2 linked regions of the Sus scrofa genome follow. The main gene of each other region encodes a partner of the protein of the gene in region 2 in a complex. Links are inferred from orthologs where the notes say so. Each region holds a gene or a part of one and is shown on either strand. Other genes may lie near its edges.

Region 1 (4,309 bases), on a different chromosome or scaffold from region 2:
GGAAAATGCTCTTTCTCTCAGCCATTCCTGGCAGAATGAGGCATATATGCTGAGACCAGTCATTACTCAGGGCTTTCGGAGAACCTCCTACAAGCCAGATGCTTTCAAGGAGTTAGGAGTGGTTGGGCGCAGGAAGGATGGAGCCCAAGTGACAGAAATTAATTTCTCCCTGCTCAGACTGTGCAGAGGGTGAATTCAGGGGCACTTGAACCTGAGGCAGGGGGAGGGAATGATCCCACAGGAAGCACAAACAAGCAAACGGGGACCCCGAGGAGGAAGAGGTGGGCGCTCAGAGACCCTCCTGGAGGGAAGAGCATAACTGATGACGCAGGAGCGTGACTGCTCTTAATAAGCGGCAGCAACACACAATTCAATGTTCCACAGATACAGCTGGTTCACGGGAGGGGAGCAGGAGAAGGAAGGCCAAGCACAGAGAAGTCAGTGGGGTGCAGGGCTGTAATAAGGAGCCCAGGAATTCACCCGCCATGGCCACCAGGAGAAAGCATCTGTGGCTTCAGTTTTCTCTATCAGTGGGCATTTTAGAAATGCTCAAAACCCACCACGAGCATCTCTTACGTGTCTTCCCCTGCAAACTTTCAAGAGCTCTATTGGCTTCTTAGAAGCAGGTCTATTTTGCTAGGACAGATTTAAGGTTACAGAAGTGGGCGTCAGAGGTGTGCATTTCAGAAAAGTCCGAGAAGTCTTACATTAAAAAATCTTTTAAGGAGTTCCCCTCGTGGCTCAGCGGAAATGAATCTGACTAGGAACCATGAGGCTGCTGGTTCAATCCCTGGCCTCCCCCAGTGGGTCAAGGATCTGGCATTGCCGTGGCTGTGGCACAGGACAGCAGCTATAGCTATGATTCAAACCCTAGCCTGGGAATCTCCATATGCCTCGGGTGCAGCCCTAAAAAGAAAAAAGAAAAGAAAAAAAAAAAAAGTTATCATTTAAGAGTACTTTGAGCCTTCGTTCTTTTCAGAGGTTTAAGGTTGTTTTATTCCTTAAATGCCAAAGTCCACAGTGCTGGGGACGGGGTCTGAGGCGGACATGATAAAGAAATGTGCCTTCAGGACAGAACCCATAGATCCTTCTTGTATTAAGACAGAAATCAAGTGCAAGGACGAGGGGGAGGAAGGGCTGTGGCCTCCCTGGGCTCTGACACACTGACCGTGATCTCGGGCAGGCGGTGAGTGCTGAGGCCCTGGGCTGGGGCAGTACCTGTGGCTAGGCAGGTCCTGGACCCTCTCCAAGCACAGATCTGAGGGCCCCTCACCGCTGCACCTGCCCTCCCGGGCTCAGGTATCTGTGGTTCCAGGCTGGAGGGCGGAGGGAGAAAGAGCTGCCCAGTATGGATGGTTCCTTGGTCTCGAGCTAGTGCCATCAGCAGAGGAAGAGGCCACGGGTGTGAGGGTAGATGTCTGTGTATAAGCATGAAGTGATCACCTGCACTGACCGGTTTAAGGGTCTGGGCAGCGGCTTGTAAGCCGTATGCAGTGGAGACAGCGTTTGTATGTGTATAGAAAGTAACTGCTGCTAAAGGTACGTCTCTTGTGTACATGCATTATCTTATACAGAAACGTCAGCGTAAGAGGGACAACTCAGAGGTCACACGTGCATGAGAAGTGTGGCCACTTGAGGGGAATGAGGCCGCAGGGAGGCTCCGCTAGTCCAGGGACAGGTAGGAGAATGTGGCACTGTGGTCCATGTCCTCTGGCAGTTAGGGGGACGGCACAGGGAGCCACAGATAGAAGGGTCAAGAAGCCTGGCGAGCTCATCTGGCTCCATCAGGCGCTGAGCAGTCTTTGGCCAGTCCCTTCCCCAGCCCAGGGCTCAGGTGCTTCATCTGTGGCTTGAACTCAATGACTGACCCCTAAGAGCCCTCTGAGCTTTAACTTACAGCATTAAATTTCAAGTATCTCTGAGAAAGAAAGAGGAAAAGATAACTGCCGCCACGTGAAGAGGGAGAGTGAAGGACACTTGGGCGGCTGCCTGGGTGTGAGGAATGACCCAGAGGTGGGGTCCAGAGAAACAGTGAGGAATGGGCTCCCAGGAGCGCGAGTCCTAGGAGAAAAACGGAGCTTGAGCGCCTCATTGGGGGTCTCCTACAGAGTAAGGGGTGGGTCCTTCCCTCTGCAAGACTCTCCCAACGGCCCGGTTTTGATGAAAGCAAGAAGAGACCGCCCAAAGTGGGGGGCTGGAAATGGGGAAAGGGGATATCTTGGTACTTTTCTGTAGTTGGGGAGCGTGTTCGAGTGGGGGCAGTATTTCCAATACACGATACCCGCTTTCATTCAAGAATTATTTGATGGGCGGGACGTGGTCCTGCCCTAGCCTTAGGCTAGCTCTCAGGGGTCGAAGATCGGGGAAGAGGGGCTCCTTAGTCCAAATGACGGGAGAAGGTGGGGTGGGGGTCCCAGGATTTGGGGAAAGCAGTCCCAGGACCGAGGGGGAGGAGCTCCCGAACTGAGGGGCAGGGCGTCCTGGAACTACAGCGGCGGGGGTGGGGGGGGGGTCCCGGAGCCAAGTCCATCGCGCCCTCGCCCTCCTCCCGGACCCTGCGCTCACTGTCCATGCCGGGGAAGGGCAGCGGCTGCGCTCCGAGCTGCTGCTCCACTGCGATCTCCAAGTCGAACTTGATATGGTCCACGCTGGCGATGATTTCCTGCATGGCGGCGGCGGCGGCCACACCGGCCCGGCTCCCGCTCAGGTTCCTCGTCTCCCTCACACCTCTACCCGCCGCAGACCCGCCGCACACTGTCCTCCGCCGCCTCGCCGCTGCCGCCAACACCGGCGCCACCGCCGCCGCCGCCCAAGGGATGCCGGGAGCACCCAGAGCCCGCGCCAGCCCTTTCGCTCCAGACCGGGCCAATCAAGCGCAGAGTACAGGCGGCTCTGCTAGGCCCGGCTAGCCGCTCGCCGAACTCTCACCTCTCCTCGCCGCTGCCGGCGACCAAGAAACCTAGCGCGCCAGGAGTTCGCGACGGAGACTGCGCCTGCGCGAGGTCGGCCGAGGCGCTCCTCTGGGAAGGCGGTGGGGACGGTGAGCCGGGGTTCGAGGCGCGGCTGGGATGGCGCTAGGGGTGACGCGGGACGGGCGCGGGGCAGGGGGCGCGGGCGGAGACCGAGGTGGGCCGCGTTCACTGGGCCGCAGTCCTGGGGCGAGTGCCTGTTTGACTCTCACAGGAGCCCGGGCCCCGGGTCGGGACGGGCCAGAGGGTCAGCGAGGGTCGCAGCCAGGGTCGGAGCCGTTGGGTCGGCTGAGGAAACAGAGGATCGAGGGGAGCCTGGGAGAGGGGTCAGCTTGAGGGTCTCCGGGCGTCTGGGGAGCGGCGGGGCCCCGTGTCTGCAATACGGTTTATTAATCTGGGCAGGTGGGGAGAACGAAATTGCCCCTTTCACGACTGACCGAGGGGCGTTCGCTGTGCCCAAAGGATGTCGTGGTTTCAAGTAGGGATGAGTGTAATGATGGTTGGAGACAGGGTCTTTGCAGCTACTACAGACTTTTTTTATTTTATTTTAATTAAAAAATTTTTTTTTAATTACTTTTTTTTTTTTTTTTTTTGTCCTTTGCCCTTTTAGGGCCTCACCTGCGGCCTATGGAGGATCCCAGGCGAGGGGTCTAATCGGAGCTGTTGCTGCCCGCCTACACCACAGCTCACGGCAACGCGGGGTCCCCAACCCATTGAGCGAGGCCAGGGATCGAACCCGCAACCTTATGGTTCCCAGTCTGATTCGTTTCCTCTGTGCCACAACAGAAACTCCTGCTACAAACTTTTATACTGTTTTAAGATGACGATCCGACGTTGTTATTTAATGGTTGAAAAAGAAGCATTTATTTGAGTAAGCATGTTTAAAAAACATGGGGGCACCTATTTCAATATCGGTAATTAAAATTCTGTGTTTTAATTCATGTATGTAAACACTTTCTTTACTGTGGGTACTTGAAAATTTTAAGTTACGTACGTGCTCACATTACATTTCTGGTGGAGCCTCACCAGGTGCAGAATGTAAAGGGCTTTTGCACTAGTGTCACTAGGGTGCTGGTCAAGAGAGGCTGTCTGATACCATCCATGGACCTGGGTTCAAAGCCAGCCCCTTCCAGAGCTAGCCAGTCTCACCCACTGCACGTTTTCAGGGCGAATGTCATTCCCCTCCTTGGTTCTCAGTTATTGACCTGTCGAATTTACTGTCACCTCTGAGGTCTTCTCATTGGTAACTTTAATATAACCCGACCCTAAAAATAAAACGTGTTCATGCTTTTATTTAATATATATATATATTTTTGTCTTTTTGCCATTTCTTGGGCCGC
Region 2 (4,423 bases):
TTAAGATCTTAAATTGCTAAGGACTGGTAGGTCCTGGGTAGAAAGAGACACAGAGAAAAGGTATTCAAAACAGGAGAGTAACATGATCAAAGGCCCAAAACAAAAGCTTACAGAGTACTAGTGACAAAACTAGCCTGGCACACCATCATATAAGCAAAAAATGAAAGAAAAGCCCTAATGAATAGAAAAGGGCCAGCTAATGAAAGGCCTTGGAAACTCTGGACCTAGTTCTAACTGTTGGACAGAACAGGTAACAAAGAGATATTTTAAGATCAATTATAAGATGACAGGATATAGGCAGTTCTGCAGATTCAAAACATTTGCTGGTATGTGTGATTGTTTAGATAAAGTCGGTGGTCAAAGCAGGGAGATAAAAAAAAAGAGAGGATTTAGCAGCCCCCTCCCTCCTTTCACCTTTGCTGGTGCTATTTTGAGACTAAACTTCTTCAGCCTCAAATGCACCTTATAACTCTGCGACATGAGTTCACGAGTCATTGTCTAAGGAACCAAGGCTAGAAACTCTACATGTTTGATTCCTCCCTTTGCTTCTTGAACAGACTGTTACCACCTCCGGAATTACTCTCCCCTTAGAATTCCTTGTACATTTACCATTCCCTCCCCATTCCGACAGCAAGTACCTTAATACAGGGCCTCATTGCCTTACATTTGGGTTTCTGTTTCTTGGCCTCCAGCCTTTCCTCCCTTCATCTCAACCTAAACCCTACTGCCAGATTAATCTTCTGAAACACCCCCACATGTATGAGTCCTTGCTTAGAAATCTCTGAAGGCTTCCTACAGTCTGAAACAACCAAACCTGGAGGGTGCCAGCAAGCTGCCCTGACAGCACTGCTGACCATCACCAGTTTAAGGCCCAGCCTAAATTCCACTCCTCACTAATTCCTCTATCATTCATCTAGACTAGTACGGCTCTGTCCAATAAAAACAGCATGCATATCAAATGTAATTAAAATTTTTTTTCTGGGCCACATTAAAGTTTTACAGGTGAAATTAATTTTATTTAACCCAACATATCCAAAATGTTATCATTCCAACATGTAATCATTTTTAAGAAACTGGTTTTTTTTTTTTCAGTCCTAAATCTTCAAAATCCAGTGTGTATTTTATATTTACAGCACAACTCAATTTGAACTGACCACAATTTCAAAAGCTCAGCAGCTACATGAGGCTGGTGGCTACTGGAATAGCACAGATAGCAACTCTGAACATGCTTTGGACTGTGGAGCGTTGTGCTCTGTCACCCCTAAAGTGCAAGGAGGCACCGTCCTATTTTTATGCACATCTCAGACTAGACTTTAATGGTATCACCAACCACTTAGTCTCCCAGACGAAAAATTCTGAAGTCACCTTCTTACCACAAATTGGCTGCCACCAGTTGAATTCCTTTTTGACATTTCAGAAATGTCTAACATCCTTTACTATCTTTCCCCAATGAAGGCACTCATTTCCTTACCTGAATGACTGCAATTTCCTCTCATTCAGTTCCAAGTTGATCTTCCATACAGCTATCAGAGAGACCATCCTACAAAAAATAGCCTCATGCCCCCTTCCTTGTGCAAGGCAGTCATTGGCTAAGTACCAAAGAAAATCTCACACCTTCCTTGGAAAGCAAGGTCCTTTACAAGTTTACCTCAATCTTCCTCTTGCTTCACCAACCACCCTTGCACAGCATGCTCAAATACATTCATTCTCCCGCTCTCCCCAAGCTTGCCAAAACTTCTCCAGTCTCTGCATCCCCGCACTGCAACCAAGAATGACCTTCCCGTGAGCTTAGTAAATTCCTTTTGGCCCTTCACGACCCAGCTCAAATTTACTCTTTTATAAAGCTATTCTGGTGTCTCCAAGCAATGGTATTTACATTTAGCTGGCACAAGTGGGCACAAAGAATAATGGTGAATGGATGTTGAATGGCATGAGAGAAGCGTTCAGGTGAATCTTTTAATCTCCAATACGGAGCACAGCGTTCAAAGCAACGTACATGTGTACTGAAAGGAATGAACCCTCACGACATCATAAATTGCTGCTGGGCAGCGGTTTTTGACCAACACCATTTCATCTTAACTATCTATCAAAGTTACTTGCTTTCTTAATAACGATTGTGGGTGCATGTTAATGACAACTAAGGGGAATCAGCAAAGTCTAAGGAAAATGAGAGTCTGGGTTAACCTCGAAGACTCGTAAGAAGTCTCCTCCTGGTCAGTTCCGGGAGAGCACTGGTTTCCTAACAGGATCAAAGGGGTTCTAACATAAAAAACATTAAAATATTATTAGGGCATGGGCAATTGCTCACTCAAGTTCGCCTGGTCACAGGAAGCCAGACTTGCCAGGGTTAAAATTATTCTGACCTCTTGTTTACTGAAGAGTACGTAAATAATGATAATACGGGAAGTGCTCAAAGGCTATGGGGGGTAGGGGGGAACCGAAACTTTTTTTAATAAAGCATGGTAAGGTCTTTGAGTCGATTAACTAAAGAGGACGCCTGCTTTGTGGCCAGTAGCCTCGTGGTCTCTCAATCCGAGGCGACAGGAAGACCCCAAGCGAGGAGGCTGAGAACAAGGCAGCCACAAAGCTAAGGAGCCAAAGCGGACGTCGGATTAACTCCTCCGGCGCCGAGACTCAAAGGGGAGGGAAACAGCAAAAAAGAGGGAAGGAGAGCATGGGACTGAATCGTAGGAACTGCCACAACAGAATCGGGAGCTTCAGACCCATGAAGAAATCACTGTTTCCCTCACTGAGCACTTCGGCCGGGAATGACCAGGAGAGTCACAACCGAAACCCCAGGCGCGCGTCCCTGGTGGAGACCGAGTCAGAGTCGGAGCCAGGCTCTCCCCGAGGGCCGAGGACGCCCCCTCCCCCATCCAAAGGCGCACTGATTTCTTCCGCCCCCACTTGCCTCGTCAGTCCTCCCCCAACGCCGTCCACTGCCCTTCCCAACCCCTAGTAGAATCCAGGTTCAAGAACGAGAAAAGCTGATGTTGGCTCAGCAGCACCCGTGACGATCTGCCAGCAGAAAACCCTCAATGGCGGCCGCCATTTTGAAACTGGAGGAGACCCGCGGAGGCGGGGAGGCGAGGGGTGATACCATCTTCGGGGGCGAGGGGTGACAAAGCTGGAGGAAGGAGGTGGTGCTAACACCAACTCTTCACCTGGGAACAAAATTTTATTTTTAAAGGCTGTATAATGTGTTAAATCTTAAAGAAATGTGATAAGAATCAAGGAGTGAAAGGAAGAAGATTTATGATTTCCCGGAGCCACCCCTCTCTTCGAGCGGGCCCGGCGAATGGTAGATCCCGAGGCCACAGCTTCCGCCGGCGCTGGTGGCTGGGTTCACCGCTGCCCTTGGTCGTGGGGGTCGTTGTTGGCTCTGAGGCCGCAGGTGGGTCTGGGGTCGAGGCGTTGGAGGCGGCTAGAGTTGCTTTTGTGCAGGCGGAGTGGGGTGAAGTTCTAGGAAAGCCTTCTGCAGCCTGTGTACGGGGAGGTGCGGGGGATCTGGGACTTTGCAGGACTGGAGCGGCGCGGCTTCCCAGGCTTCCCAACGAAGGAGAGGGGGACAGGGGAGGGGGGGCGGAGAGGGCGTTGCTTTCTGGAGGACCGCTGCGCTCAGCTTTCCCGTCTGATGCCTTTTGAAAAGGGTACTCTGAGGCTAGCATAACTGGAAAATGTCTTTTGATGTTGCCCGAGCGGAGGAGACACTATCTGGGATCACAGCTCCTAGGCTGCAGGAGAGAAGGGGCTGCTTCTCCAGAAAGATCTCCGATTCGTCCAAGTTTCAGAGTTCTGTCTTGCTTGTTACTCAGCATCGCAACCTTGCTCTGTTCTACATCTCAAATCCTCTTGAGCCCACCATTCCACAAAATATGCACTTTGTAAAAACTTAATTTTTAAAAAAAGGATTTATTTGTGCTTTATTTCTAGCGTGTGTATGTTGTTAAGACAGGGTTCCAGACCTCAAGGAGTTTTCTGGCTCCCGACTTTTTTTTACGTTAAGTCGACACATTTTGATCAATACATATAAGTGCAATAGAGACTAATTAGAGAATAGAATTTATTTTTTTAATGTCTAATCAACTATTATTACAACGTGAGTTTGGAAGGACTTAGAAAAATACACACCATATACAGTCTTCTTTTGAGAAGTTAAGAGAGAGAAATGGATTGAAGAAAATGTAAATAATACAAGCATACCTCATTTTATTATGCTTCACTGATATTTTTTAACAAATTGAAGTTGTGGCAACCCTTGTCAGATGATGGTTAGCATTTTTTAACAATAAATTATATTTTTAATTAAAGTATGTACAGTGTGTTTTTAGACATAATGCTATTGCATATTTTAAATAAACTGTAGTATAGTGTAAACAAGTTTTATAGGCACTGGGGAATCAAAAAATTCTTTTGACTCACT

What was found.
Region 1: CPSF2 (region 2) and CPSF4 share a complex: the UniProt entries of both Homo sapiens proteins name them as parts of the cleavage and polyadenylation specificity factor (CPSF) complex. The link is inferred for Sus scrofa from reciprocal best matches to the Homo sapiens genes CPSF2 and CPSF4.

The regions. Positions count from the first base shown.
Region 1 is NC_010445.4:6,372,874-6,377,182, reverse strand, and holds the start of CPSF4 (cleavage and polyadenylation specificity factor subunit 4), read right to left. Parts: upstream 2,822-4,309; 5' UTR 2,669-2,821; coding exon 2,566-2,668; intron 1-2,565. UniProt on the Homo sapiens protein: Component of the cleavage and polyadenylation specificity factor (CPSF) complex that play a key role in pre-mRNA 3'-end formation, recognizing the AAUAAA signal sequence and interacting with poly(A) polymerase and other factors to bring about cleavage and poly(A) addition.
Region 2 is NC_010449.5:113,658,553-113,662,975, reverse strand, and holds the start of CPSF2 (cleavage and polyadenylation specificity factor subunit 2), read right to left. Parts: upstream 3,039-4,423; 5' UTR 2,912-3,038; intron 1,590-2,911; exon of another isoform or gene 1,472-1,589; intron 1-1,471. Other genes in the region: NDUFB1 (NADH dehydrogenase [ubiquinone] 1 beta subcomplex subunit 1), read left to right, coding at 3,039-3,086, 3,217-3,394. UniProt on the Homo sapiens protein: Component of the cleavage and polyadenylation specificity factor (CPSF) complex that play a key role in pre-mRNA 3'-end formation, recognizing the AAUAAA signal sequence and interacting with poly(A) polymerase and other factors to bring about cleavage and poly(A) addition.